7 linked regions of the Macaca mulatta genome follow. The protein of the gene in region 6 purifies or fractionates together with the protein of the main gene of each other region. This does not show direct contact. Links are inferred from orthologs where the notes say so. Each region holds a gene or a part of one and is shown on either strand. Other genes may lie near its edges.

Region 1 (4,556 bases), on a different chromosome or scaffold from region 6:
TGGGACTACAGGCGTGTGCCACCATGCCCAGCTAATTTTTTGTATTTTTAGTAGAGACAGGGTTTCACCATGTTGGCCAGGATGGTCTCGAACTCCTGACCTCAGGTGATCTGCCCACCTCAACCTCCCAAAGTGCTGGGATTACAGGTGTGAGCCACCGCACCCGGCTATTCACTCTTACAGAAGTATAACACACGTCACGATTGCAACCAAAATTGATACATTATTATTATTATTTTGAGACGGAGTTTTGCTCTCATGACCCAGGCTGGAGTGCAATAGTGGGATCTCGGCTCACTGCAACTTCTGCCTCCAGAGTTCAAGCGATTCTCCTGCCTCAGTCTCCTGAGTAGCTGGGATTACAGGCACGCACCACCATGCCCGTGTAATTTTTGCATTTTTAGCAGAGACGGGTTTTCATCATGTTAGCCAAGATGGTCTCAATCCCCCGACCTCAGGTGATCTGCCCGACTTGGCCTCCCAAAGTGCTGGGTTTACAGGCATGAGCCGCCTCGCCCGGCCCGATAACGTTATTATTAACTAAAGTTGATACTTTATCCAGATTTCCTTAGTTTTTACCTAATGTTCTTTTTTTAATTGCAGTGTCACACCCAGGATACCGTATTACATTGTCATGCCTCCTCAGGCTTCTCCTGGCTCTGAGTTTCTTATACTTCCCTTACCTTTGCTGATCTTAACAATTTTGAAGAATACTGGTCATGTACTCTGCAGAATGTCCCTCAATTAGGGTTTGTCTGATTTGTTTCTTATAATTAGACTGGGTTATGAGATTTGTTAGGAAAGTAGCATAAAGTGCCATTCTCATCATATATCAGTCCACATACTATCAACATGATTTAGCACATAGTCTTGATCACCTGGCTGAATTACTGTTTGCCAGGTTTCCCCACTGTAAAATCACTCATTTTCCCCTTTACAGATGTTGTACTTTTGGGAAGGAAGTCACTATGCACAGCCCACATTTAAGGAGGTGGAAGTGATGCTCCAGGATGGCTGTCTACATAAGTTATTTGAGATTCTTCTGTGGGGGATTTATCTCTTCTTCCTCATTCGTTAATTTATTCAATCACTTATTTATATCGGTATGGGCTCATGAATATTTCTTTTATACTTTGAGTTATAATCCAATATCACTTGTTTTATTGCTCAAGGCAATTTGTAATGTTCTGAGTAACTCAGTGAAGAACCACCCCTCCCAATGTTTGTACCAGCTCACAGGGTAGACGTCATTAAGATCCTTTTCTCTTCAACTTCATAGGCCCATTAAAAAGGTCAGAAAGCAAGGGGGAAGCTGACACCCCTGCCTAGCGCCCAATTTCTGGACGCCCCTAAGGAAGATGAGGCCAGCATGCAGGGGTCTTTCCCCACATGGGCACCTCAACCCGTGAAACGCCCTTTCCCGGCCAGACCTTACTCAGCACCCCTCCTTGTCCCCTGCCCCATCTTCTGGCTTCCTGTGGCTCCGCCCACCACGGGGCGGAAGTGGGTGTGGCCACGGGCGGAAGCAATGGGTCAGGGGCCCAATCTTGCAGCCAGCCCCTCCCACTCGCCGCCGCCCCACCCCTCCGGCCCAGACCGGAAATGAGGTCAGAGAGGGAAGCCCTGGCGGTGAGAGTCGGCCCAAAAAGCGGCGGCCGTTGGAGGTGGCTGCGGCAGCTGGTGAGGGGGAGGAGTGGTTTTAGTGTTGGGGTCCTGGGGGCTAGTACCAGAGGGGATCGGAGCGCCAAGCCGCGGCTGAGCGGCTAAGGGCGTCTTGGGGCTGCGGCAGCTGGCCGGAGGGTGAGGGTGGTGGGGTCTTGCTTTTCAGGGCCCTTGTCCCCATCCCTGGGGATGTGGGTCGGGCCGTCTTCGGGGCCACAGCCCCCTCTTCCTCTTTCTTCTTTCTGCCTCTCTGGGGCTGGCGGCAGCGTGAGGGCTTGGTGTCCCGAGCCATGGTCGCCCCAGCCCTCAGGGACGGGCCGGGGCGAGGTGGAGAGTCCTTCGAAACACAGTTTTTCTCACATATGTGGCCGTGTTGCGACCCCCGATCCCGGAGGGAGCTCAGTCGCCACGACTTGCATTTTTTCAGTTTCTGCCCTAGAAGAGCCGACCCCCGCCCCTGGTGAGCCCAAATGAGAAGTTGCCTCCTGCCTCTCCCACCTCCTACTCCGCCCCTCACTTCCACCCTGCTCCTGTTTCTCTTCTTACTTGCTGTCCACCAGCTGCCCTACCCGTTCCTTCCTGTGCGTGACTCAGCCTCATCTCTACCCGGGTGCGTGCCTGGACGCCGGGTCCTCTCGAGAGTGTGCACCCGCGACTGGAGATGGGGGGAGCCCTAGGGTTCTTCTGTCACCCACTGTTCGAATTACAGGCTTTGAGGCAGGAAAGGATTCTGCACAAGCATTCGACTACCAGTTGTTTGGTGACTTCGTTCCGTGTTCAAGTTTGTGCTATTCTGCCTGAGGTTTTTATTTGTTATTATTATTATTTTTTTGTATTTTAGTTGCCTGAGTTTTTAAAGCAGTAATTCTTTATTAGGGAAGTAGATTTAGGCATGCTGTTCCCACTTGTTTCTTTATTTTGGTCTTAGGGACAGTTGTCTCCCAAACCTCAATCATGGCATTTTAATCCACTTTTTTTTTTTTTTTCCATTTTTTCCCCTTCTTTTCACAGCTGTTAATAAATCACTTCTTAATGCTTAAAAGAACTTGGTCTTGTTTAAATGTATGTGCCTTTGGACACTTTGAGAAGCTTCGTTTGTATGGTAGTTTTGGAAGTAGGTGTCACCATTGCTCCTACAGGTGTGGCAGATAAGCCCCAGGACTGTTTTCCTGTCTTTAAATTCATTGGCATAGGCACAGCGTGAAAACAGGTTTTAGAAAACCCTTTGCAAAGTGAAAACTGAATGAATGGGAATATGGTGAGAGAGCGGCACCACATAGAATTTTAACATGATATTGAAATACTTTGGGCATAGAGGCAAGGGAAAAGTGCTAAAAGTTTAATGTGTATTTAATTAGCTGCTATACAAATTAAACATTTCCCCTTAAGAGGGAATTTTGAAGATTGTTCCTACTACTCTCATTTGTTGAAATGTTTGCCTCTGAAGTGACTCCTGAAGTGTGATGTTTGGTTTGAGGATAAACAGAAAAATAAGAAATTTTGGAAAGCAGTTCAGCCAGAAATCTTAGAAACTTCACCCTATCCCTGTCATTTCAGCTGCTGTTGTATCCTATTTTTGTGTGATTGTGTGGCACTGAAGCACATAACTAGGACGGACATTCGGACATTTATTTTCTGAAGAGTAGGAGAGGGGCTTAAAAATTGTTAATTATTCAAAAATATATGACCTACTGTATAAGGTTCTATACCTGGTAGCTTCCAGGTGGTAGTTGGTACCAGAATGGGTGCAAACTTAGTCTCTTCTCCATTCTGACTTCAAACCTGGCCACTACAATTTCTTGGATCATGAAAACTGCATTCTTCCTTAAAGGGTATCACTAAGTTGTCTTTCTGTTTCTTTCTGCCATGGTCATTGTCAGCAGTGACCCCAGGCCAAAGAACAGTTTTTCATTCATTCTCAATACCTCGATGAGACCGTGTCCTGCTCTGTGTTTCTGCAACTCTAGTGTGATTTTGAAGTTGTATGTTTTTCTACTCCTGTCTAGTGAGACAGTCTCTAATCTTTCTGGATCTCATCATTAGGTAATTCAGTGACAAGTTTAACTGGGGAAAAGTGAGAAGGATCTAGTCCCCCGAATTTGTTTTGGGTCCTGTCCCAGTTGTCATCTGGTGAGTAGGTTTTTGTGCTTAAGAATATGTTGACTTCAGGCGTTTAACAAGGGACAAAACATCTATTTTTAGTGGCTTTAGGAAGTGGTAGGAACAGAATCTAAGTGTAGCCAGATGAAAGGTGACTTATTTCATTTAGACAGGCAGTACTGTGGACTACCATGATCTGTTTCATCAAATTATTCCGAAACAACAGATCCTTTTCAGGCTTTCTTTTTCTTTTTCTTTTCTTTCCCCCCCCCCCACCCCCCGCCAAACTTCCTTTTGGCAGATGTGGCCTCATGGATGAGCTGGTACACGACTTAGCCTCAGCCTTGGAGCAGACATCTGAGCAGAATAAGCTTGGTGAGCTGTGGGAGGAGATGGCCCTGAGCCCCCGGCAGCAGAGGAGGCAGCTTCGGAAACGCCGAGGTCGGAAGCGTCGTTCTGACTTCACTCACCTGGCAGAGCATACCTGCTGCTACAGCGAGGCCTCTGAGTCAAGTCTGGATGAGGCCACTAAGGACTGTCGAGAAGTGGCTCCCGTGACCAATTTTAGTGACTCTGATGACACAATGGTGGCCAAACGACACCCAGCTCTCAATGCCATTGTTAAGAGTAAGCAGCATTCTTGGCATGAATCTGACTCCTTTACTGAAAATGCACCTTGTCGACCACTCAGGCGCAGGCGGAAGGTGAAGCGAGTGACATCAGAGGTGGCTGCTAGCCTTCAGCAGAAACTGAAGGTGTCAGATTGGAGCTATGAGAGAGGCTGCAGGTTCAAA
Region 2 (3,775 bases), on a different chromosome or scaffold from region 6:
GGGCCAAGGCACCTGGTTTAGTTTTCTTCAGTAAACTACTACTTTTGGTTTGATCATATTATTACTATCATATCACCTGATTTTTAAAATTATGGGCAAGGGTAAAACTGTTACCCCAAGCTGCCTGTGCCATTATGTTAACCTGCCGCTAGTTGTATAGTAAGCTTAGATTTAAAATGGCAACTAGAAAAAGATAAATCTAGCACAGATCTAATGAAATTATGCGGGAAGACTTAGAAATAAAATGTGTTCTTGTTCTTTGGGTAATCACATTCTGCTTTTCAAGAAATTCTCTAGCAGCCATACTGTTTATTTTATTTTTGACAAAAATTATGTTATGAGAAGAGATTTATAGCTTAGGGAGTTTAAAGACCTGTCCTTACTAGTTTTTTGACTTTGGTAAAATCTCTGAGCTTTTGTTTCTTTACAGTAAAATGTAATAATGGTAGCTGCTTTATTTTCCTCATGAGATTGCTTAAAGTTCAATTGAGATGATACAATTAAAATCACATTGCATTTTGGAAATGTGGCATTATCATTTGCTAATCGCAGCATAATTGCAAAATTGATAAGGTGATGTTTATGCAGGGGTTTAAAAATTCTATTGGGGAATAATTCTAGATATTTGAGATTTACTGGATTGGACTGTTCAGCCACTTTCTAGAGAAACCAATTTGTTTTCCAGGTTCCTGATCATAGCCCAGTCTGTAGCCCAATAATTAGTCAGATTGTATTTTCAGTTAGTTACTTTTTTTTTTTTTTTTGAAACCAAGTCTCACTCTGTAGCCCAGGCTGGAGTGCAGTGGCACAGTGAGACGGAGTTTCGCTCTTGTTACCCAGGCTGGAGTGCAATGGTGTGGTCTCGGCTCACCGCAGCCTTCGCCTCCTGAGTTCAAGGATTCTGCTGCCTCAGCCTCCTGAGTAGCTGGGATTACAGGTGCATGCTACCTTGCCCGGCTAATTTTTGTATTTTTATTAGAGACGGGGTTTCACCATGTTGGTCAGGCTGCTGTCGAACTCCTGACCTCATGATCTGCCTGCTTCGGCCTCCCAAAGTGCTGGGATTACAGGTGTGAGCCACCGCGCCCGGCCAGTTAGTTACTTTTCTGTAATGTAAAGTTATTTTTAGTAACTTATTTTTATTTCTTTCCTTTTCAAAAATTCTAGATTCAGGAGGAATCAGATATGTGGAAAATAAGAGAACTGGAAAAACAGATGGAAGATGCTTACCGGGGGACCAAAAGGAAAATGCTACCCAGCAGTTCAAGGTGAAGTTGCAGCTCTGAGAACTAAAATAATTCTCATCTTTTTCAGAATCATCAACTTTTGTTTAAAAATACTTTGGTATATTAAGGATAGATGAATTTAGTTCTGTGAGTCCTTAAGCCTTTCCTCTTTCGTAAATCTAGGCATAAAGATAATGGCTATGATGCATATGCCCCCACTCTCTGTACTTATTTACAATGGAGAGTTAAAAAATTCTCCCTGAACAATTATGAATGTGTAGGGTTCTGTGGTTTCTAACCTTACCTGATAGCTTTTAACTTAAGATTTTCTACTGGAATCTTGTGGTCACTAAGCTGATCAATCATTCCTTTCTCTATTAATTTTTCATTCTTTCAGGCTTTTCTTTTTGTAGCTGGGACTGCAGGTGCATGCCACTCTGCCTAGCTATTTTTTTTTTTTTTTTTTTTTGTAGAGGCAGTGTCTTGCTGTGTTCCCCGGGCTGGTATAGAATCCTGGGCTCACACAGTCCTCCCACCTCAACCTCCCAGTGTTCGGATTATAAGCGTGAGCCACTTGCCCAGCCTCAGACTTTTCTTCACCCTATGTATTCACCCTCTTCACCAGATCAACAGCCTTTTCACATTACCTTAATAGCTTGAGTGTAAATATGAAGGATTATGCAAGGTTAGTTGTGTTTTCCTTGTGGAGAGGCCTAGGAATGCTTGAATAATTGGGAACATCCTTATATGCTTGTAAGTGTAAGAGCTACATATATAAGAAATACTTAAACTCTTTAGGAGCAGGGCTTGTGATTTTCTCATTTGCTGCTGTATTCCTGCCCGCTAGACCAATACCTGGTACATAAGAGGCCCTTACAATTTTTTTTTTCTTGAGACGGAGTTTCGCTCTTGTTACCCAGGCTGGAGTGCAGTGGTGTGGTCTTGGCTCACTACAGCCTCCACCTCCTGGGTTCAGGCAATTATTCTGCCTCAGCCTCCCAATCAGCTGGGATTACAGGCACCTGCCACCATGCCTGACTAATTTTTGTATTTTTAGTAGAGGCAGGGTTTCACCATGTTGGCCAGGCTGGTCTCGAACTCCTGAGCTCAAAGTGATCCACCCGCCTAGGCCTTCCAAAGTGCTGGGATTACAGGTGTGAGCCACTGGGCCTGGCCCCTTACGAATTTTTGATAACTGATTAGCAGCTTACTGGCTAGTTAGTAGAAGTGGTAAACAGAAGCTGGATCAATGGTTCTCAACTTTTTTCCTACTCAACTATTCCCATGGGTTAGACCTTGTTCCCACTGTTATTGGGACCTCTCTATAGTAAGTTGCTGGTTTGCACAGAGGGAAGTGTATTTCAGAATCTCTAGGGTAGTTTGAAGTGTCCCTAGCTATGATTATGTTCTGCTTCCCTCTTTGCATGCCTTCCTAGTTGAGAATCAGCGAGTGAACTATCACATGACAGTCCAGAGTTGATTTCATCTCTCTATGCTTTGCAATAGGATGTGTACTAATGGTCAGATTTTTTTTTTTTTCCTGAGACGGAGTCTCACTCTGTTGCCCAGGCTGGAGTGCAATGGCGTGATCTGGGCTCACTGCAACCTCTGCCTCCCCAGGTTCAGGCAATTTTCCTGCCTCAGCCTCCTAAGTAGCTGGTACTATAGGTGTGTGCCACTACACCTACTTTTTTTGTATTTTTAGTAGAGACAGGGTTTCACCATGTCGCCCAGGCTAGTCTTGAACTCCTGACCTCAAGTGATCCACTTGCCCTGGCCTCCCAACGTGCTGGGATTACAGACGTGAGCCACTGCACCTGGCCTGGTCAGATTTTTTTCCACTGGACTTTACAAATGTACAGAGAGGAACAGATAAAGTGCTGGGATTAGAGGCATGAGCCACCACACTAGGCCTGGTCAGATTTCTTCCATTGGACTTTACAGATGTATAGAGAGGAACAGATGTCTTTACCTTTTTTTTTTTTTTTAAACAGTATCATGTTGTTTCCTTCCCCCTCAGCTTGTTCCATGAGTTTTATGCATGATGTTCCATAAAGTAAACTCACAGATTGCTTTTACATCTAAAAGTTCTTCTGCTTTCTCTTTTAGCCGGATGCGCAGTGATGGTTTTGATGAAGAAAGTCAAAGAGACTATTGGAGGCCAAAGAATGAAATTTCTGGGACACTGGAAGATGATTTTCTTAAGGCAAAATCCTGGAACAAGAAGTTATATGATTATGAAGCTAACATGCCAGACAGGTTTGTGATTAATTCCTGTGAGCATTAATATTTGGCCTGAGAATGTGTACTTATCAAAATTAATTGTCCCCACAAAAAACTTGTGTACAAATGTTCATACCAGCATTATTAATAATGGCCCCAAAAAATAATGGCCAAGTAAATCCAAATGTCTGTCAACTGATGAATGGGTAAACAAAATGTGATACATCCATACAATGGAATATTATTTGGCAGTAAAAGAAATGAAGTACAGATACATGTTACAACATGGATAAACCTTGAAAACATTATGCTAAGTGAGAAGAAAG
Region 3 (3,775 bases), on a different chromosome or scaffold from region 6:
TGGTTTTTTATATGCTATGGAAGGTGTCCTGTCTTCATGACCTAAGTAATCGATTATCTCCAAAAGCTAGTATGTAGAGCTAATAATATTAAGGAAGGATTATCTTGTTTGAGAAAGCTTTACGTACCTTTTTGATTTTCTCTCTTTTAGCAAATTTGAAAGAAACCAGTTCTTATTCTCTACCTAATTCCAAATGTACTTAAAACTGTTTAAGCATTCATAAAGGTGGATTTCCAAGTCATTTGTCATTTTTATTCAACTGTGACATTAATTCATTCTATCCAGTTTGTAAGTAATTAGATGATTTTTATGAATTCAATATTGTAAACCATTAAACAGAAATGTCTTGCAACTTATATGTTTTCCATCTTTGAAACTTCGGGAAGCTTCAGTCATTAACATGGCAGTATTTTGAAGCTATGAAAAATTTAAAACACCCTAATAAGGGGCAGGATTAATCCTTAATAGGATTAATTTCATTTAGTCACACCTGTTCATGATTGTTTCCCTTTTTACACTCCACACAAATCATGAAATTAATACAGACAAATACCTATCACAAACGTTCTCTTCCTTTCTTAAGAATACATTAGAGGAAGACAGTAAGTTCCAAGTGAAAAACACTAACATAAATTTTAAATTATAAATTTATTTAATGATGTTATAAGAAAAGGACAAAGTAGTAGCCGCCTACACTTTTTTTCTTAGTCTGTTCATCCTTTTGGCAGTACAAAAAAACGTAAATGAAGTGATCATTCTTTTCTGCCTACTTGTAAGCTATTTGTCTTAGATGAATAGGTACATAACTATTTGAAAGGCCGTGGACTTGGAAGTTGATACTTTGCTGAAATATGTTAGAATGCTGGGGCTAAATGCGAGGGTAACTACTTTGATAATATACTTAAATTCTCATTAAAATACAGATCTTTCCTCAGGATTGTATTGTAAACATGATATTGGTAATGAAATAAAATGAAAAAAATATAAAAATAACTTTGACAAGCCTATCAATCTTTGATAAGGGTGGAAGGGCTTACAATGATATGCCAGCATTTACTGTGAACTTACTATGTTTCACATTGCTAAGTGTTTTTCTTGCATTTAAGTTCTTAATTAATTCTTAAAATCCCTTTGAGATTCCCAGTTTTTTAAAATGAAGAAACTGACTCTAATAGAGTAGAAGTAACTTCCCTGGTGTTGCAGAACACTAGAATTCTAATTAGTCTGTCTGACTTCAGAGCAAGTTCTTAACCAATGACTATTTGATTTCCCTATTGAAGAATAAAGTTGTGTATTACATCAAAAATAAAATAACTTTATTTTTCTGTAATAGTGTTGGAATTCAGATATGTAGTAGTCAGTTTCAAGTGAGGCCCTGTTTTTTCTTATGCTTAAACCTGATCTGTGTAAGTTTAATATAAAGCTCAGTAAAAGTCCTGATATCTAAGTGCTGTTAATTGTGTTTTTTGAAAAAAATTTTTTTATTAATTCCCCAATAGAAACAAGCTGGTGACTCTAGTTTTTGAAATGCCTTTAATTTTTGATTCCATCTTAGTTGAAATATAGCTATTTCTCATAAAATAATTTTCAACTGAAACTTAAGAGTATTTTTAGTTTTCCTTTAAAGACGTTTGTTGAAAGAGATTTTAGAAATCAGAAATATCTCTCTCTAAAGGGAAACAGTTTATGACAATCATGATGACCCTCTTAGAAACCAGAATTAGTGGTGGCTTCTCATAATCAAGGGAAGGAGACTTTAATGAATCTCAGATCATCTTCAAAATGCTATTTGTTTCTTTCTGTTTTTCTTTTCTTTTTTCTCTTTTTTTTTTAACACAAGGTCTCGCCCTGTCATCCAGGCTGGAGTGCTGGTGGTACGATCGTAGCTCACTATAACCTCAAACTGCTGGGCTCAAGGGATCCTCCTGCCTCAGACTCCCGAGTAGCTAGGAGTACAGGTGCATGTCACCATGCCCGGCTAATTTTTAATCGTTTTAAAATAGGGTCTCGCTATCTTGCCCAGGTTGGTCTGGAACTCCTGACCTCAAATGATCCTCCCACTTTGGCCTCTCAAAGCACTGGGATTATACACACGAGCCACCATACCTGGCCTGTCTCTCTTTCTTTTAAAAGCCATCTGTCTTCTGTATTTTTGTCTCTTCATAACTACTTTTTCTTCAAAAAACAAAATACTGATTCTCCCCTATGGCACATTTCAAACTGAATTTTCAATTGATCATTTATTGTTCCATGGTTACACTCATGGATGTTCCCAAAAGTCAGAATTATTGGATAGTGTTGGGCAAAAACATCTCACTTATTTAATATACTTTCTTCATAAACTCTAAGGTATTGTCACTTTTCATTCAAAATCAACTTTTTCAAAACTATTTCTTAATGAGCTTAATGGGATTAATTTCATTTAGTCACATCTGTTCATGATTGTTTCCCCTTTTATACTCCATACAAATCATGAAATTAAGCTAATTATATACCCATATCTGCTGCAAAGCAAGGGTTCTACAGTTTTAACACTTTTTAATTCCCGGGAGCAGATTAAGGTTTGTTTTTTCTTAATGTGGAAGGGGTAGTAACTTAAATGGATTTTCTAATAGGTTTTGCCAAAGGATTAACCAGCTTATTATTGTTTTTCACATTTTAAAATTGGTTCGAAAACATAAAATTTTGTGTTTTTATTGCTGACAGTTTCTTACAGTCTTAAGATAATATTTCTTAGGTAAAGCTGTGGTATAAAATAAAAAGTTTTCCTTATAGATTATATATGCAGTTATCAAATAAAACATAGGATCCCCAATTAAATTTAAATTGTAGGTAAATAACATGTAATTTTTTAGTACAAGTATGTCCCATGCAGTACTTAGACATATTTCCACTAAAAATTTAATGCAAGTATTGTATACTTATATTAAAAGTTAGTCATTGATCTTAAATTCAAATTTAACTGCCATCTTGTATTTTTATTACGTAAGACTAATTGTGTAACTGGATGATAAAACTGAATCTTTGGTTGGGGGGGGTTTCTTGTATTTATACAGGTGATGATGAACAGAGTGACTGGTTCTACGAAAAGGAATCAGGTGGAGCATGTGGTATCACTGGAGTCGTGCCCTGGTGGGAAAAGGAAGATCCTACTGAGCTAGACAAAAATTTACCAGATCCTGTCTTTGAAAGTATCTTAACTGGTTCTTTTCCCCTTATGTCACACTCAAGCAGAAGAGGTCAGTAGCATTGGCTCCCTGGTGGATATAATGGGTTTAAGGTCAATCTAGGAATATTCATTCAAAGAGGATAAGATAAAGTGGAAATTAGAGAATATAAAGACAAGATGCTGTAAAGAAGTATATTGGCCACTAATATAGCTACTACATTTATCATGCTTTCAAATTATTTGAAAAATTGACTTGCTTTCTTGCTAGACTTATTGAGAAAATGTTGAAATGATAGGAACATGAATTGGGAGAAAAGAAAATGGGTATTTATTACTCTAGTGATTAAACACTGGTTAGTTAAGGGCTGACTGCATTAGTACTTTGCTAGGTATTGCTCCAGTTTCTTTAAGTGTGAGTTTTGCATTTTCCCAAATAATATTCATGGCATTCACCGCCACCACCAACTTACTTTTCATTCTCTATTGATAGGATCTTCTTCTTCTATGCTTCAGCGATCATAGAAAACTTCTAAATTGAGTACTTTGATTTTCCAGGTTTCCAAGCTAGACTCAGTCGCCTTCATGGAATGTCTTCAAAGAATATTA
Region 4 (3,775 bases), on a different chromosome or scaffold from region 6:
AATGTAATATAGCTGGCCCTCTGCATCCATAGGTTTTGTATTAGTGAGTTTTGCATCTGTGAATTCACCTGAGGACTGAAAATATTTGAGAGGGAAAAAGAAATGATCGCGTCCCCACCGAACATGTATAGACTTTATTTTTTGTACTTATTCACTAAGCAATACAGTATTAACAACTATTTACATAGCTTTTACATTGTAATAGGTATTATAAATAATCTAGACATGATTTAAAGTATATGGGAGGGTGTGAGTAGGTTATATACAAATACTACATCACTTTATATAAGGTACTTAAGCATCCTTGGAATTTGGTATCCTGGGGGAAGAAGGGGTCTGGAACCAGTCTTTGTGGATACTGACAGACAACTGTAGGGTGCTCCTTTTATTTTTATTTTTTTGTCTTAGCCAATTCCTTCTTTGTGGTTTTTATTTTATAGAGACAGAGATCAGTGAGTCTGGCATGACAGTGAGAAGTACTGGCTCTGCAACTTCCTTGGCTAGCCAGGGAGAGAGAAGGAGACGAACTCTTCCCCAGCTTCCAAATGAAGAAAAGTCTCTTGAGAGCCACAGAGCAAAGGTTATAACACAGAGGTCAGAGATAGGAGAAAAACAAGACACAGAACTTCAGGAGAAAGAAGCACCTACACAGGTATACCAGAAAGATAAACAAGATGCCGACAGACCCTTGAGTAAAATGAACAGGGCAGTAAATGGAGAGACTCTCAAAACTGGTGGAGATAATAAAACCCTACTTCACTTAGGCAGCTCTGCTCCTGGAAAGGAGAAAAATGAACCTGATAAGGAAACTTCTTTGGTAAAGCAAACATTAGCAAAACTTCAACAACAAGAACAAAGGGAGGAGGCTCAGTGGACACCTACTAAATTGTCTTCCAAAAATGTTTCAGGTCAGACAGATAAATGTAGGGAGGAACCTTTTAAACAAGAATCACAACCTCCAGAAAAAAATTCAGGACATTCTACAGGCAAAGGAGACAGAGTGGCACAAAGTGAGAGCAAAAGAAGAAAAGCTGAGGAAATTCTGAAAAGTCAGACTCCAAAGGGAGGAGACAAGAAGGAATCCTCCAAGTCATTAGTGCGACAAGGGAGCTTCACTATAGAAAAACCCAGCCCAAACATACCCATAGAACTTATTCCTCATATAAATAAACAGACTTCCTCTACTCCTTCTTCTTTAGCATTAACATCTGCAAGTAGAATACGAGAAAGAAGTGAGTCTTTAGATCCTGATTCTAGTATGGACACAACCCTTATTCTAAAAGACACAGAAGCAGTCATGGCTTTTCTAGAAGCTAAACTACGTGAAGATAATAAAACTGATGAAGGACCAGACACTCCCAGTTATAATAGAGACAATTCTATTTCACCAGAATCTGATGTAGATACAGCTAGTACAATCAGTCTGGTTACTGGAGAAACTGAAAGAAAATCAACCCAAAAGCGAAAGAGTTTCACTAGCCTCTATAAAGATAGGTGTTCCACAGGTTCTCCTTCCAAAGATGTTACAAAATCGTCATCTTCAGGTACTAGGGAAAAAATGGAAAAGAAAACAAAAAGTCGTTCCACAGATGTGGGTTCAAGAGCAGATGGTCGTAAATTTGTTCAATCCAGTGGGAGAATAAGACAGCCTTCGGTAGACCTAACCGATGATGATCAAACCTCTAGTGTACCTCATTCTGCCATCTCTGATATTATGTCATCTGATCAAGAAACTTACTCCTGTAAACCTCATGGACGGACTCCACTTACCTCAGCTGATGAGCATGTACATTCCAAACTGGAAGGAAGTAAAGTAACGAAATCTAAGACTTCTCCGGTAGTATCTGGTTCATCCAGTAAATCGACCACCCTTCCAAGGCCACGACCTACCAGGACTTCCCTCTTGCGCAGAGCACGACTTGGTGAAGCTTCAGACAGTGAACTTGCCGATGCTGACAAAGCATCTGTTGCTTCTGAAGTATCCACAACAAGTTCTACATCAAAACCTCCCACAGGAAGGCGTAACATCTCTCGGATTGATTTATTGGCTCAGCCTCGTAGAACACGACTTGGCTCACTGTCAGCTCGTAGTGACTCTGAAGCAACAATTTCTAGAAGTAGTGCCTCTTCGAGGACCGCAGAAGCCATCATTAGAAGTGGAGCCAGATTAGTACCATCAGATAAATTTTCTCCTAGAATTAGAGCTAACAGTATCTCTCGACTCTCAGACTCCAAGGTCAAAAGTATGACCTCAGCTCATGGCTCTGCTTCAGGTAAATTGGATCCAGATTTCTAATAGCATTAGCATGTTGTATATTTTGGGGTTCCTTTTTAAAAAAAAAAAAGTGTCTAGTTGTCTTCCCAAGATACTCGTTCAAAACAAAAGTTATGATATATGAGGTGGCGGGGGAGGTTCCATGAAATAGTTTTATGTAGCATAGTAAATGGAAAAGTCAGAAGTTATATATACTTCCAATTAAAGTCCTGGGGCAAAATAGTGATTTCAAAATTAGGAATTCATTGAACTGATTTAGGAGTTTTAATTCTCCAGTTGGTGATATATTTGGATGTGTGTGTGTCAAAATTAGATTATCTGGCATTATCTGGTTTAAAGTATAGGAATTAACATTGTGCTTCTAAAAGCGTGTTTAACCTTTAAATATCCTCACGTATTTCAAAGCCCTTAAGAACTTGAAGAAAAGCAGCGTATGCTTTATTACTTCTTTCAGAGTTAAATAATCAATGTTTTGTTCTTTTTTTTCCCTACCTATTTTGAAATGTCTCACATACTTTACCTATACTTTTTAAAGTTAAATCTGTTTATAGTTGGAGCAGGTGAAAACTAACCCTTAATTTATTTCAGTGGAAGAAGATGGATTCATGGGGAATCACTCAGCATATATTGGCCAAACTGGGCTGTAGAAATTTAACTGGTTATGAGCATTATCTCAAAAAGTGCTGTTACATTGTTTAACTCTAGTAATTAGGTGTAATTGAATATAATAACTACAAAAACTACTTACTCTCCACCAGAATTTAACTGATGTTGTTATATTTGTTTGCTTACATACTTTGTGTTCAGAGCTGAAGCCATTGAGAGACATGTGTGACCAAAGAGTCATGAGGTGGATATTTGTTTGTATCCTGTAAGCCTGTTCTCATTACTTCATAATGAGCCTCCTATGTGGGCGTGGCTGCAAAGGCCAGTGTGGGAGGCCAGCTGTTATAACAGGCTTGCAGATGCGTGATGATTTTCAGTAGGCAGACATCTCAGTGAGCCCTAAGTCTTGAGTTAAAAGTGGAGGGGAAGTTGATAGGAAATTTCATCTTTTTATTTTTGATTGGTTTACATCTACCACACTATATCCTACAAGACCCTAAAGGAACGGTACTTTGCATATGATACTGTTTTCACTTTTCTTCCTCTTTTCACTGCTGCTTTCCTCCACTCCATTCACCTCTCTCTCTCTGCTGGTCAGTGGGTTTGCTAATGATGGTCACTGTCTATGGTAGAAATGGATGTAGGCTGAAGCTGGATAACATATAATCATGATTCCAAAAAAAAATTAGACAACATTTTCCTTATTACCCCAGTCCTCATTTCCACACTTGAAGCTTTGGTTGGTGGTTCATAAATTTATTGCCAAATATTTTAAAACTAACTATTTTGGTTTTTTTTTTCATTCTGTTGTTGCTTATGGCTCTACTTCTTCAATTCACATTTCATCTCTGCTGCATTTCCTGAAGAAATTTCTTCTGCTATACTCCGTGTTTT
Region 5 (4,432 bases), on a different chromosome or scaffold from region 6:
TGAGATGGAGTTTCGCTCTTTGTTGCCCAGGCTGGAGTGCAATGGTGAGATCTCTGCTCACCGCAACCTCTGCCTCCCAGGTTCAAGCGATTCTCCTGCCTCAGCCTCCCATTTAGCTGGGATTACAGGCGTCCACCACCACGCCGGGCTAATTTTGTATTTTTTAGTAGAAACGGGGTTTGGTCAGGCTGGTCTTGAACTCCCAACCCCAGGTGATGCACCCACCTTGGCCTCCCAAAGTGCTGGGATTACAGGCGTGAGCCACCATGCCTGGCTCTATTTATTTATTTTTTTATTGATATGGAGTGTCGCTCTGTCACCCAGGTTGGAGTGCAGTGGTGCCATCTTGGCTCACTGCAGCCTTTACCCCCTAGGTTCAAGCAATTCTCCTGCCTCAGTCTCCCGAGTAGCTGGGATTACAGGCGCGCCACACCATGCCTGGCTAATTTTTTGTATGGGTTTCGTCCCATTGGCCAGGCTGTCTCAAACTCCTGACCTCAAGTGATCTGCCAGCCTCGGCCTCCCAAAGTGTTGGGATTATGGGTATGTGCCACCACGCCCTGCTGCCAGCTGGAACATTTAAAAAATAGTAGGATCAATATACCAGGAAGTCACATGGTGCCTCTGTCTCCAGCTTTATCAATCTTGACGAGGTTTTTCTCTCTTCCTGGAATCTAAGTGGTCTTTGCTTTGTCAGGGCCTGAAATAAGGTATTCTTTTCTTTTTTTTGTTTTTTGAAACGAGAGTCTCACTCTGTCGTCCGGGCTGGAGTGCAGTGGTATAATCTCAGCTCACTGCAGCCTCACGACCTCCCCGGCTCAGGCGATTCTCCCTTTTCAACATCCCAAGTAGCTGGGACTACAGGTGTGAGCCATCATGTACTGCTAATTTTTGTATTTTTAGGAGAGAAGGGATTTTACTATGTTGGTCAGGCTAGTCTCCAACTCCCGAGCTCAAGCGAGCGATCCGCCCGCCTCGGCCTCCCAAAATGCTAGGAGTACAGGCGTGAGCAACATCGCCCCGCCTGAAATAAGGTATTTCTTCTGCTTGGAACCAGCTCTTCTTTTTCATATACCAGCCTAAAGAGCAATTTCAAGACTCTCCTCTAACACTCCACCCACCCCCTTTATTCTTTAACTCTGTTTCTCTCTCGGGGCATTGTCGGTTAAGTTCCATGAAGACAGAAACTGTTCCCATAGTCCATCACAGGGACTGGCACTGTAGAAAGAGCTAACAAAAGTATTTAAGGAAGATCCCTGGATTCGAGGTTAGAGGGACGTATGATCGTGTCACAGCACTGCAGTCTGGGCGACAGAGCAAGACTCTGTCTCTTAAAAAAAAAAAAAAAAAAAAAGGCCGGGTGCGGTGGCTTTCGCCTGTAATCCCAGCACTTTGGGAGGCCGAGGAGGGAAGGTCATGAGGTCAAGAAATCGAGAACCACCCTGGCTAACACGGTGAAACCCCGTCTCTACTAAAACACACACACACACACACACACAAAATTAGCCGAGCGTGGTGGCGGGCGCCTGTAGTCCCAACTTCTCGGGAGGCTGAGGCAGGAGAATGGCGTGAACCCAGAGGCGGAGCTTGCAGTGAGCCGAGATCGCGCCACTACACTCCAGTCTGGGCGACAAAGCGAGACTGTGTCTTAAAAACAACAACAACAACAAAAAAGTCTTGCTGTGCTCTTTAGCACTAATCCTATGACGTTGAACCAATTACTTAAAACACCTAACTTCAGTCTGCAAATGGGAATTGCAGCAGCTTATTTTAGGACGGTTATGAGAGTCAAAAGATTTTGTTTGTACACAGCCTATGACACCGGCCAGTGTTTCTATCTCCGCTATTTGTGAGCCTTCTCTGGGTCCTCCTACACCCCAGGTCCTTAAACTCCCCTGATGGACTACCAAGCCCCGCCCCTCTCTCCTGCAAGGATGACGTCATCGACTGAGTTGTCGAGTGACGTCACCTCCGGGCTGGCTGGGCTTCATCGCTTCTCCGGAAACCTCCGACTCTCGGCACCTGGCCTCCAGCTTTCGGTTATTTTTTTTTTTCTCTCCGTAGCTTGAATTCCTTCCCTCCCATCCTCCCACCTAAAACTATCGGCTCTTCCCGCCTTCCTTCAAACTAGCAATTTTCGGTTCTTCCCTCTTGCTCTCGGGCGAATTCCTGAAAGTCGTTTATTCTCTTAATTAATCGCCGCTCCAGCCCCGCCCGTTCAGCTCATTCTCTTAATCGCATTACCCTGGCTGCTTTTCTTTCGGCTGTTTCCACCTCCTGCCACCCACCCAGACACCGCCTTCGGCTCTTTCCGGACCATCTCAATTTCTCCTCCTTCCCCGGTCCCAATCGGCTTAGGCTATTTCTGGCTCCCCTAGGTTTCTCATGCTCTCTCTAGCCCCACCCCATCACCAGCTTCGGCTCTTTTCGGCTCTCCCCCGTCGCCTCCTGTCTCCTGCTCAGCTCTTTTCGGCTATTTCCGCCTCCCCTCGGACTCACCCTTTGCCTTCGGTTCTTTCCGCCGGCCCTCAGGCAAGCGGTCTCTACCCCTCTCCCGCACGTGACGCGGCCTCCGCCTCCGCCTCTCAGTTCCCCCTCCCACCTCACCCTTCCTCCCGCCTCAGCCTCTAGGCTGGTCCGGGCCGAGCCGCCATTTTGTGTCAATTCCTGATTGCGGCGGGGGCCGGGCAGCCGGGAGACCAGTGGCGGGCAGACAAGGGAGACAGTCGGCCCGTCTCCGCGGCCCGTTCCCTCTCTCCCTTCAATCCTTTTTTTCTTTTTAACCCTTCCACCCCCTTCGCTGGCTCTCCTCTTCTCCCCTTACCCTTCGCTTGCTCCATCGCGCGCGGCCCGCGCTAATTACACCCAACCACCCACCAGTGTCCGAGTCTCCCGGGTCTCCCGCCCCCGGGCCCGCGGGGGTGCGTGGGGGGGGGGCTCTCGCCCCTATGAGGGCCCCGCGCCAGTAAGCGAGTGACCGCAGGGGTGGGCTGCGGAGAAAGCAGGCGGCGAGCGGCCCTCCGAGGCCTAGGCCGCGCGGCCTACGCGGAGGTCAGCGCAGAGGTGATTCCGAAACCGAAAAAATATATACCCCATTCCCATCAGGAGCCCTCCGAGCTTAAGTGTGCCCCTCCCGCCACGCCCAAGCAGTCCTTTTTCGTGCATTAACATCCCCTCCCCCCCAAAGGAACTATGGAGGCCGCGCCCGGGACCCCCCCGCCGCCGCCATCAGAGTCGCCGCCGTCGCCATCGCCGCCGCCGCCATCAACGCCTTCGCCTCCTCCGTGTTCCCCCGACGCCCGCCCGGCCACCCCGCACCTCCTCCACCACCGCCTCCCGCTCCCTGACGACAGGTCAGGCCCCCGGCCGGGCCGGGGCTGCGTCCCCGGGGGGAGGAAGAGGAGGAGGAGGAAGGGGGGCGGCCGCCATGTTGGGCCGGGCCGCGGAGGAGGAGGAGGAGGAGGAGGAGGAAGGGCGGGGTCGGTGGGTGTCTCTCGATCGCTTGCTCGCTCGCTCTTTCTCGCTTGCTTTCTCTCCTGGCCTCATGCGTTTCCCCCCCCTCGCGGCGTTCGCCCGCTCTCCCTCGCTCTCGCTCTGTCTTTTTTGGGCGCCATGCTGAGGGGAAGGTGAGGAGGCGCCCCTCGGACCCCCCGCGCCCGCCCGCCCGCCCTGGGGAGGGGGCGCCGGGGGGGGTGCTGCGGAGGCCCACGGGGGTCCTTGGCTGCCCCTACGCCCGGAGCTGGCAGCCACGGGCCCGCCTGCTCGTCGCCTGGCTTCGGGGAAGGGGATGGGGGAGGGGCTCCGGACCCTTTTTGGGGGGATCTCGAGCAACAGCCCCGCTCTTAGGGGTTTGGGGTTGGGGGTCTCCCAGCCCCCGGCAGTATCCTTTCTCCTGGGGGAGGCACACCCTACCCTACTTGGATGATAGGTATCTTAGCTTAGGAGGCAGAAAGTGGGGGTTCATTGCAGTCCCTTCTCCATCCTTGTAATGGGGGGTCATTTGGGTGGGTGCTTTATAGCACTTTTATTTTTTGGCGGGAGGTGTTTTGTAGCTATTCCCTAGAAGGCCGAATTGGGGAGTGGGGGAGATGCATCTCCAGCCCTTTTGATGAAAACCCCTGCCTATTTATTTAGAGAAGATTCTTACCCGTGTTTTTGTTAAAGGGCAGGGGTTCTCTAGCTTTTCGTAGGTAGGTGACGTGAGGGAAGACTAGCAGCCTTGTTTTGTGGGGGTAAGGTTTGGTTTCCCTGCCTTGTAGGGAGAGGAAGTTGGTCCCGCGCTTTCTCGTGGGGTTCCCCCCTCTGTCGGGGTAAAATGGGGCACCGTCTCTTCCGGGAGAGAGAAAAGGAGATTTCCTTGTGCTTTGGCAGGGCGTTAAAGGAAGCGCCCCATTCCCTTTATTAAGTGCGAAACGCGGCGCCCCCCCCCCAC
Region 6 (4,514 bases):
GAGCCCTAACTCCTTCCCGTAAGACTGCCACAAGGTGCCTTCCTTTCCCTTCTTCAACACTCACCGATGGGAAGCATTGGCTGGTTCTCACAGTACACACGAGGACAGTAACCAAAGTCTCCCTGCTGGTACTTTTCCAACTGAGGTGAATAAAATGGAAGGGGTTGGCAGGTAGGTGTGAAGAGAAGAGGCAACTCCCTTCTCAGCTCAACCCATATCACTCTGTCCCCCACTCCTCCCACCTCTGTCCAGAGGCCCCTTCTCTGGCCCAGATGGGCTCTCAAACTCCTATGTTGCCTTTCTTCCAGTTAGGCAGGCTACAAACCATCAGAGCCATTTGTTGTTTGTTCCCTGAGGAAGAGGCAGTCTATCACAACTCTCTGTTCAAGGACTGTCTCCCTCCCTGAAAATTATCCCTTCAGGATGACCCCCAATCAGAATTCAATTCCCAGGCCCAAGCCTGGGGTTCTTCTCCTCTTCTCAGCCAGTTTCCTTAAACAAGGCTTAAACATGACTTCTTGCTGCAGGAACCTGTGTCCCTTACTGCTCAGAAGGAGGCAATTAGGAGCAGAGAGGCCTCACCATCTGGGCAATGCCACGGTTGGTAAGGATGTAGCGGGCGTGGATCAATCCATAAAGCATCTCGGCAGCCTGCTCAATCAGGTCACTCTGGTTGGGGTTGTCTTCCAGTTCTTCATCTGAAACACAGCCCGGCCAAATGCAACCACTTGTTTTTCAGCTTTCCTAGGTGCCCTGCCCATATCCAGGGGGTGCGGACTATTCAGTTCGCCTGGCACCTACTTTTGGGCCTTACCCCATCCAACATCTGGGCATGTGACCCAGAAACCTGGGCTTCTGACCCTTGCGCCAACCCAAGACAGCTCTGTCTTCTCTTCACACCTCTTTAGCCTCCGCTCCCCACTCTCCCTCCCAGCTCCCTCCCCAATACATAACTGCAACAATGTCAATGCAAAAGATGAAACTCTAGACTGGAAGGTGCAAAGCAGGAGAAATAGCAAACCAGACCCATGAGGAAACATATTTTGGAAAACATCTGAATTGTGGATTTAGAAAACATGGGAACAAGTGATATACGTCACAAAACTAGACACAGTCAGGTGGAGGATCAAAATAAAGCATGAATTTGGGGTTAAAGAAATCAGAGAACCAAAGGAAATTTCAAAATTCAAGTAAGTGAATATAGATTTGAAGAGAAAAAAAGTGCATGCACACACACAAAACAACCCTGAGGGTGCCTCACCAGGCTCCAGGTCCAAGATCATGTCTAGAGCTTGTCGATAGTGAGGAACCTGCTCATTGAGTCCAGTAAGATTAAATTTGTCCTGAATGTAGTCTTCATCCACCTGTGGGGACATGGAAGCCAAGAGGGAACCCATATCAAAATCCCCATCTTTGACCTGGGCAAAATGCTCTAACTGATGCCTTATCATCAACACAACTGCATCTGTTCCGCTTGTTTCTCACTCCCAACTCAGCAGAAGTACTTGCGTCTCTCCCTAGTTCACCTATACTCCCTCCCATAAAGCTTTGGCTTTTCTTTTCTAAGGATAAGCAGGTACAGCAATCTTTTTCTTAGACATTCTTTTCAAGATCTCTGTCCCTACTCCTGTACTCCATCTCTAGGAACCAGTTTTGTCCTCTCAGCTGGCTGAGGAGGATGGAAGCTGAACGGCATGGTTTCTGAACAAAACATTTCAATACGTAGCATTTCAATTTTCCTAACAGCCAGCTGAGACATGTACTAGCAGTACAACTTTAGTAATAAAAGATACAGGCTGGGCGCAATGGCTTATGCCTGTAATCCCAGCACTTTGGGAGGCTGAGGCGGGCAGATCACCTGAGGTCTGGAGTTTGAGACCAGCCTGGCCAACATGGTGAAACCCTGTCTCTACTAAAAATCCAAAAATTAGCCGGGTGTGGTGGCGGGTACTTGTAATCCCAGCTACTTGGGTGGCTGGAGCAGGAGAATCGCTTGAACCTGGGAGGCAGAGGTCGCAGTGAGCCGAGATCGCACCACTACACTCCAGCCTGGGCGACACAGTGAGACCCAGTCTCAAAAAAAAGATAAAGAAAAAGACACAAATTGCCTGCTGGAGGGTGGCAGAGTCAAAACTTGGGCCCCAGTTTTGCCACTTTAGCACAGGTTCGTCGGGGGTTATTGAGGGGACTCTTCGTTGATGGGAAGTTTTCAAGTAGTATGTAAGAGAACAGTGTAGAAGTGGAATACGTGAAGGAACATCTGGTGGGAAGATATGTGAAGCCAGCAAGTAGGGAGGTCGAAGAGAACTCACTTCACAGAAGAATTCATTGCCACGGAGCCCACAGAACCAGGAAATCCAGGACACCTCCTCTGAGCTGCTCATCTTCACGTCAGCTGAAAAAAAGAGTGTCAGTAAAGCTCAAGTTCTCCTTCCCTGCCTCGGGTATCCTCCCTCCTCCCACATTAGAACCACCCTTTCTTAAAGGATCCCAAACTCTGAAGCACTCCTCTCCAACTCCTCCAATTTACATCTCAGTTCCCTTTTCTTTGACGTTAAACATTCTTTGGGGTCCCACCACTTGAAAGAAGCCAACAGATACTTTGACCCACCAGCCCGACCCACGTCCCTGGAGCTCCCGAAAGCCAGGGCCCTCTCTTCTCTGTGTCAACTCCGGCAGGGACCTCGACTCAGGCTCCGTACCAATGCAAGTCTCTGCACGACCCCGGCGCCTTTCCCAAGGATTTCAAAGTTTATCACTCTCAAGCAAGAATCGGGCCCCTCCTTTTCTCAAGGGTTGGGGGCGACTGTCAGGTCCCTTTCACCGGATTCCACACATCCCCCCTCCGCTCCTCAAGCCACCTCTCCCTCCTTGCCGGACCTGGTTGCTTCCTCCCCCCGCCCCCATATCAAAGTGCGGAGACCCATGTGCGGCTCCCAGCGACAAGCGACTAGGAGCAGCGAAGACCTCAGACTCACCAGCTGGACGGGGACCAGGACTGGGGTGGGGTAGGGAAGTTGCTACTTCGAAGGAACGGCGGCGACCGCTACAGCGCAGGCCGCGGACCCGACCGCGGCAGGCGAAGTGGGGTGGGGGGAGTGGAAATTGGGGAGGGTGGGGAAGAGGGCAACACGCAAGCGCCAAGGGTCAGGTGCCGCGGTGGATGCCGGGACGCGGAGTCCCCGGTAGAGAGAGAAACCGGCTAAGTGAGGGAAAGCGAACTACCAATCCCAGGATGACCCGCGCACGACCTGGCTGTCACGAATCCCCGGAGGAGGACGCTTGCGGGCGGGGCGCAACGAGAAGCCACCGGAAGCGGAAACCAGGTATGGCGTTCGGGGCCTGGGAGCCTGGGCAATACAGTTGTGTGCTCACTGGGCGAAGAAGCTGACTTAGGGCGGGGAAAGGAGGGAGCCAGGCTGGACCCCTCCTCGCAGCTCTCCTCACAGTTGCCCTCTAGTCCCGGCGCGGTGCTGCTTCCCTGGGGACTGGCCTATCCTTGGCCAATGCGCTGGGTCCTTATTGCCTGTTGGGCCCCTAGTGCGAGTCAGTCCCGCCAGAGACCCTTGACGGGCCTTCTGTTTTACTCCGGGCTCCGGCCTCATGAGGCGAGAGGTGCGGCTTGGCTCCGTGCGTAGGGACTTGGGTTGGGAGGGCTGGGCTGGGCTGGGCTGTGTGAGAACCAGAACGGCCCAGTGCGCTAACCTGAGGTGGTGCCAGCCATTCTGCTCGTCCCCTTGCACTTCTCCATTTCCCCTTAGTCTCTAAGTGTGACCTTCGAACCCTGGTCAGAGTAATGGTGAGGGGCAGGCGTGACGTTATTTCATTACACGGCTTCTCGGCATTCCACAGGTTTCCCTCCGCCTCCTGAGGGCCTTTCCTAACCCAGAGAGTGGATTCCTAGCTCCAGAAAATGGGCTTGGAGCGGGGGCCACGTAGAGGAAGGCGAAGGGCATTGTGGGGGCGTTATGTAAAAGTAGGACCCCAACCGACAGATCCTAGCGCTCGCGCCACCTGGGCGCGCGGAGCTTTGCTCGTTTACTATTGGAAAAGTTCCAGCGCGGGAAACTGAACCGGGAGCTTTGCGCACGCCTGAGCCATCAAGTAATGTGGGTGGTGGTTTTTGTTGTTGTTGTCGCCACGCATGCGTCTCCGTGCCGTGTGGCTATTTGATTGTGTCAACTCTGCTGATCAGAATAGCGCCATTTTGCGGTACGGAAGCTACACGGCAACACGTATAGGAGCCTCTCCCCGAGATCTTCTAGGGAGTGACCCGTCTATTTTTGTTTGGGAAGAGGAAACTCCGAAATGGGATCACGGAAGACTTAAAGGGCCAGGTTTGATTTTTTTTTTTCCTACTGGTATGTCTGTTTTACGGGGTGAGAAAGTGATTTCAGAAAGAGGCTGGTATTTATTGTTGGTAAGGATGGGGGTGGGGGCCGGACGCAGGACCTCTGGACGACTGTCTCATGGAGTTTGATTAATTTTTACTAAGGAGCAAAGTCGGTATTGTA
Region 7 (3,775 bases), on a different chromosome or scaffold from region 6:
AAACCGACAGTGAGCTCTAGACACATCGGAGGGCCTCACAGAATTTTGCCTGGTTGTGGTGTGTGACTTGTGGTTTTCATTTCACTGTTTCCCAGACCAGAGCAAGCATCCCTTACTGGCCAGGCGCAGTGGCTCACGCCTGTAATCCGAGCACTTTGGGAGGCTGAGGCAGGTGGATCACCTGAGGTCGGGAGTTCGTGACCAGCCTGACAAACGTGGTGAAACCCTGTCTCTACTAAAAATACAAAAAAAATTAGGCATAGTGACACACAGCTGTAGTTCAAGCTACTTGGTACTGAGGCAGGAGAATCACTTGAACCCAGGAGGTGGAGGTTGCAGTGACCAGAGATTATGCTACTGCCTTCCAGCTGGGGCAACAGAGCGAGACTCTGCCTCCAGAAAAAAGAAAAAAAAGAGTACCCCTTAAAAATATGTTGGGCCAGGCACAGTGTCTCAGGCCTGTAATTGCAGCACTTTGGGAGGCTAAGGTGGGAGGATTCCTTGAGACCAAGAGTTCGAGACCAGCCTGGACAGTATAGTGAAACCTCATCTCTACAAAAAGTTAAAAAAACTATCTGGGTGTAGTGGTGAATTGCTATAGTCCTAGCTACTTAGAGGCTGAGGTGAGAGGATCCCTTGAGCCCAGGAGTTTGAGGTTACAGTGAGCTATGATTGTGCCACTGCACTCCAACCTGGGCAACCAAGGAAGACTCTGCCTCTAAAATAAATTTTAAAAAAAGAAAAGAAAGGCCGGGTGCAGTGGCTCATGCCTGTAATACCAGCACTTTGGGAGGCCGAGGCAGGTGGATCATGAGGTCAGGAGATCAAGACCATCCTGACCAACGTGGTGAAGCCCCATCTCTACTAAAAATACAAAAATTAGCCGGGCATGGTGGTGTGCGCCTGTAGTCCCGGCTACTTGGGAGGCTGAGGCAGGAGAATCGCTTGAACCCAGGAGGTGGAGGTTGCAGTGAGCTGAGATCGTGCCATTACCCTCTATCCTGGTGACAGAGTGAGACTCCATCTCAGAAAAAAAAGAAAAGAAAAATATGCTGTTTGTCAATGCACTTTTATTGTAGAAATACTGCGAATCTGATATTAAAAATGAAAACAGTACAGAGGCATATTTAGAGCAAGGTGAAGGTCATCTTTTCTCCTTGCTATATCATTTCTGCCTCCATCCCACTCTGCATAGATGACCTCTGTCAACAGGTAATGTATCTCCTTCCAGACCCTTTTGGTATACATTTGGGGGTGTACATCCACGCCCTCAAATACAACTATATACCTCTTCCTTTTGCACTGAGAGGATTCTGTCCTAGCCCTGTGGTGGTTTACTGCTTAACTTTTTTAGTGTGTTTTTTTTTCTTCTCCTCACTGATCAGTAGCCTTATAATGGACAAGATTCGTTATGGAGTCCAAGAAGCAATGTACTGTGGTGTTTTTCTGCCATTTGAGCATTATTTGGAAAGCATGAAGCTTTTCCTGATTTTGGCCCTCTGCTCATGCCTGTATATCTCCTTGAAGAGCAGTTGGGGGCCTGCTGCTGCCTTCTGTACCTCAGATTGTGGTTTGTCTTCTTCATTATTGCCTTTTTTTTTTTTTTTTTTTTTTTTTTCCAGCGGTGTGGATAGGGAGGGATAGAAGAAGCAGAAAAGAAAGGTGTCATCCATTATTCATGGAAAGTAGGACTGGCCCCATAGAAGCCCCATTTTCTGCTCCTGGCTTCTCCCTTTGTCCGGCTCGCTGTTTTGTGTGTTGCACCTGCCTTGAGCCCCTTCAACCGAAGGAACTGTTGCTCAAGTGTGCTCAGTTGAGCATTGAGGAAAAGGGGCTTAGTGCTTTAGAGGTGCAATTCCCTGACCTCTTGGCATTGATTATCTCTGGGAGAGGGATCTTGCACCTGGCCCAGATTATGCGGCCTTGGCAGGAGACTGGTATTGCCCACAATTGACCTATTAGGGTTTAGTTTATTCAGATTTTCTGTGTATGTGAGACCAGCTTTCATCAGAATGTATGGCAGAGTCAGGGTACACTGCAGCTCTGAAGGCCATTGCCTTTTTTTTTCTTTTTTTAAAATTAACTTACTATTTTGATTATAAAAGTAATATAGGCCGGGTGCAGTGGTTCATGCCTGTAATCCCAGCATTTTGGGAGGCCGAGGCAGGAGAATCGCTTGAACCTGGGAGGCGTTGGTTACAGTGAGCTGAGATCGCACCATTATGCTCAAGCCTGGGTGACAGAACAAGACTCCATTTAAAAAAAAAAAAAAGTTATATAAGCACATTACGGATCACTTAGGAACTAGAGAAAAGTAAACGTAACTCCTAACCTTGTCATCTTAGTATTGCCATCATTCTCATTTTAATATATTTCCTTCTAGTCATTTTTCATGTGCTTTTATATATTTAAGGTGATTACCATCTTTCTGGTGTTTCCCATAGCTATTTTCTTGGATTTTTTTTTTTTTTTTTTTTTTGAGATGAAGTCTCACTCTGTTGCCCAGGCTGGAGTGCAATGGCACCATCTTGGCTCACTGCAACCTCTGCCTCCTGAGTTCAAGCGATTCTCCTGCCTCAGCCACCCGAGTAGCTGGGATTACAGGTGTGCACCACCACATCTGGCTAATTTGTAATTTTTTTTTTTTTTTTTTTTAATAAAGATAGGGTTTCACCATGTTGGCCAGGCTGGTCTTGAACTCCTGATCTCAAGTGATCCGCCTGCCTCGGCCTTCCAAAGTGCTGGGATTACAGGTGTGAGCCACCATGCCTGGCCAGGAAAGAATTTTTTAACAGCACATACCAACACTACTTTGTCAGTCTTCTTCTATATAACAACTCACTGAAGCATAAATGCCCATCAAACAGGGAAGAAACGCTCTCATTATATTGAATGATCAGGAAGGATCTTTATAACCACTCAAGTATTTTAAGTGGCTACAAATGACATGTTTGGTATCCCCTTGTCCACTCCTGATACCTGACCCAGATGAGAAGGACTCATTCGTGCAGTGGATAGAGCCTGGGGACATCTGGGAGATGGAGTCAGGGCCTAGATTTGAGTTCTGGCTCTGCCACTCACTTGGCTGAATAGCGCCTTAACATTTCTGAATCTCAGTTTCCTCATCGATAAAATGGGGGCTTAACATAGAACCGCCGTCACGGGGATGCGTGCTTTGTAAACTGTGAATTGCTCCTGAAATGCAGGGATCATCATCCCCATTGCCTCACTTGTGACCCTGCTTGCTGGCTTTCTTTGTCCCTAGCGGATGACCACCAGGCTCTCATCTGGGACATCCAGCAAATGCCCCGAGCCATCGAGGACCCTATCCTGGCCTACACAGCTGAAGGAGAGATCAACAATGTGCAGTGGGCATCAACTCAGCCCGACTGGATCGCCATCTGCTACAACAACTGCCTGGAGATACTCAGAGTGTAGTGTTGGTGGCGCTGTGCCCACGAGGCAGGGGCTTTTGTGTTTCCTGCCTCTGCCCCACCCCCAAAGTAAGAAGAAACATGTTTCCAGTGGCCAGTATGTCTTTCATTGCTTTGCACCCACTGTTACCAGAAGCTGCTCTAGGAGTTCCTGGCCAGTCACCCCATCGCCCTCTGTGGCAGACTCAGTGCTGTGTGGCGCCTCCTCAGCCCAGGGCTGAGTTTTAAGATTTTCTCTCCTTTCCTCTTCTTCTTTGGTTCCTCAATTAAAAATGTGTGTATATTTGTTTGTCAGGCATTGTGTTGAGGAGCAGTTCACACACTGGCTGTGTCTATTCCTC

Evidence for each region.
Region 1: the proteins of CSNK2B (region 6) and GPATCH2L purify together in Homo sapiens (co-immunoprecipitation; 3 studies listed by BioGRID and IntAct, with this or other methods). This does not show direct contact. The link is inferred for Macaca mulatta from reciprocal best matches to the Homo sapiens genes CSNK2B and GPATCH2L.
Region 2: the proteins of CSNK2B (region 6) and NKAPD1 purify together in Homo sapiens (affinity purification with mass spectrometry; 3 studies listed by BioGRID and IntAct, counting the BioPlex papers as one, with this or other methods). This does not show direct contact. The link is inferred for Macaca mulatta from reciprocal best matches to the Homo sapiens genes CSNK2B and NKAPD1.
Region 3: the proteins of CSNK2B (region 6) and GPATCH2 purify together in Homo sapiens (co-immunoprecipitation; 3 studies listed by BioGRID and IntAct, with this or other methods). This does not show direct contact. The link is inferred for Macaca mulatta from reciprocal best matches to the Homo sapiens genes CSNK2B and GPATCH2.
Region 4: the proteins of CSNK2B (region 6) and CEP170 purify together in Homo sapiens (affinity purification with mass spectrometry; 3 studies listed by BioGRID and IntAct, with this or other methods). This does not show direct contact. The link is inferred for Macaca mulatta from reciprocal best matches to the Homo sapiens genes CSNK2B and CEP170.
Region 5: the proteins of CSNK2B (region 6) and ZC3H4 purify together in Homo sapiens (affinity purification with mass spectrometry; 3 studies listed by BioGRID and IntAct, with this or other methods). This does not show direct contact. The link is inferred for Macaca mulatta from reciprocal best matches to the Homo sapiens genes CSNK2B and ZC3H4.
Region 7: the proteins of CSNK2B (region 6) and DCAF7 purify together in Homo sapiens (affinity purification with mass spectrometry; 4 studies listed by BioGRID and IntAct, with this or other methods). This does not show direct contact. The link is inferred for Macaca mulatta from reciprocal best matches to the Homo sapiens genes CSNK2B and DCAF7.

The regions. Positions count from the first base shown.
Region 1 is NC_133412.1:149,363,035-149,367,590, forward strand, and holds the start of GPATCH2L (G patch domain-containing protein 2-like), read left to right. Parts: upstream 1-1,593; 5' UTR 1,594-1,680; intron 1,681-4,063; 5' UTR 4,064-4,073; coding exon 4,074-4,556.
Region 2 is NC_133419.1:112,832,036-112,835,810, forward strand, and holds part of NKAPD1 (uncharacterized protein NKAPD1), read left to right. Parts: intron 1-1,167; coding exon 1,168-1,268; intron 1,269-3,335; coding exon 3,336-3,485; intron 3,486-3,775.
Region 3 is NC_133406.1:75,343,837-75,347,611, reverse strand, and holds part of GPATCH2 (G patch domain-containing protein 2), read left to right. Parts: intron 1-3,056; coding exon 3,057-3,239; intron 3,240-3,724; coding exon 3,725-3,775. UniProt on the Homo sapiens protein: Enhances the ATPase activity of DHX15 in vitro.
Region 4 is NC_133406.1:5,980,992-5,984,766, forward strand, and holds part of CEP170 (centrosomal protein of 170 kDa), read left to right. Parts: intron 1-440; coding exon 441-2,273; intron 2,274-3,775.
Region 5 is NC_133424.1:59,592,865-59,597,296, reverse strand, and holds the start of ZC3H4 (zinc finger CCCH domain-containing protein 4), read left to right. Parts: upstream 1-1,584; 5' UTR 1,585-1,898; coding exon 1,899-2,039; intron 2,040-2,652; exon of another isoform or gene 2,653-3,063; intron 3,064-3,187; coding exon 3,188-3,483; intron 3,484-3,515; exon of another isoform or gene 3,516-3,612; coding exon of another isoform or gene 3,613-3,626; intron 3,627-4,432. UniProt on the Homo sapiens protein: RNA-binding protein that suppresses transcription of long non-coding RNAs (lncRNAs). LncRNAs are defined as transcripts more than 200 nucleotides that are not translated into protein.
Region 6 is NC_133409.1:150,652,693-150,657,206, forward strand, and holds the start of CSNK2B (casein kinase II subunit beta), read right to left. Parts: upstream 3,026-4,514; 5' UTR 2,979-3,025; intron 2,396-2,978; 5' UTR 2,385-2,395; coding exon 2,313-2,384; intron 1,365-2,312; coding exon 1,262-1,364; intron 699-1,261; coding exon 583-698; intron 141-582; coding exon 65-140; intron 1-64. UniProt on the Homo sapiens protein: Regulatory subunit of casein kinase II/CK2.
Region 7 is NC_133421.1:73,377,557-73,381,331, forward strand, and holds part of DCAF7 (DDB1- and CUL4-associated factor 7), read left to right. Parts: intron 1-3,265; coding exon 3,266-3,438; 3' UTR 3,439-3,775. UniProt on the Homo sapiens protein: Involved in craniofacial development. Acts upstream of the EDN1 pathway and is required for formation of the upper jaw equivalent, the palatoquadrate. The activity required for EDN1 pathway function differs between the first and second arches.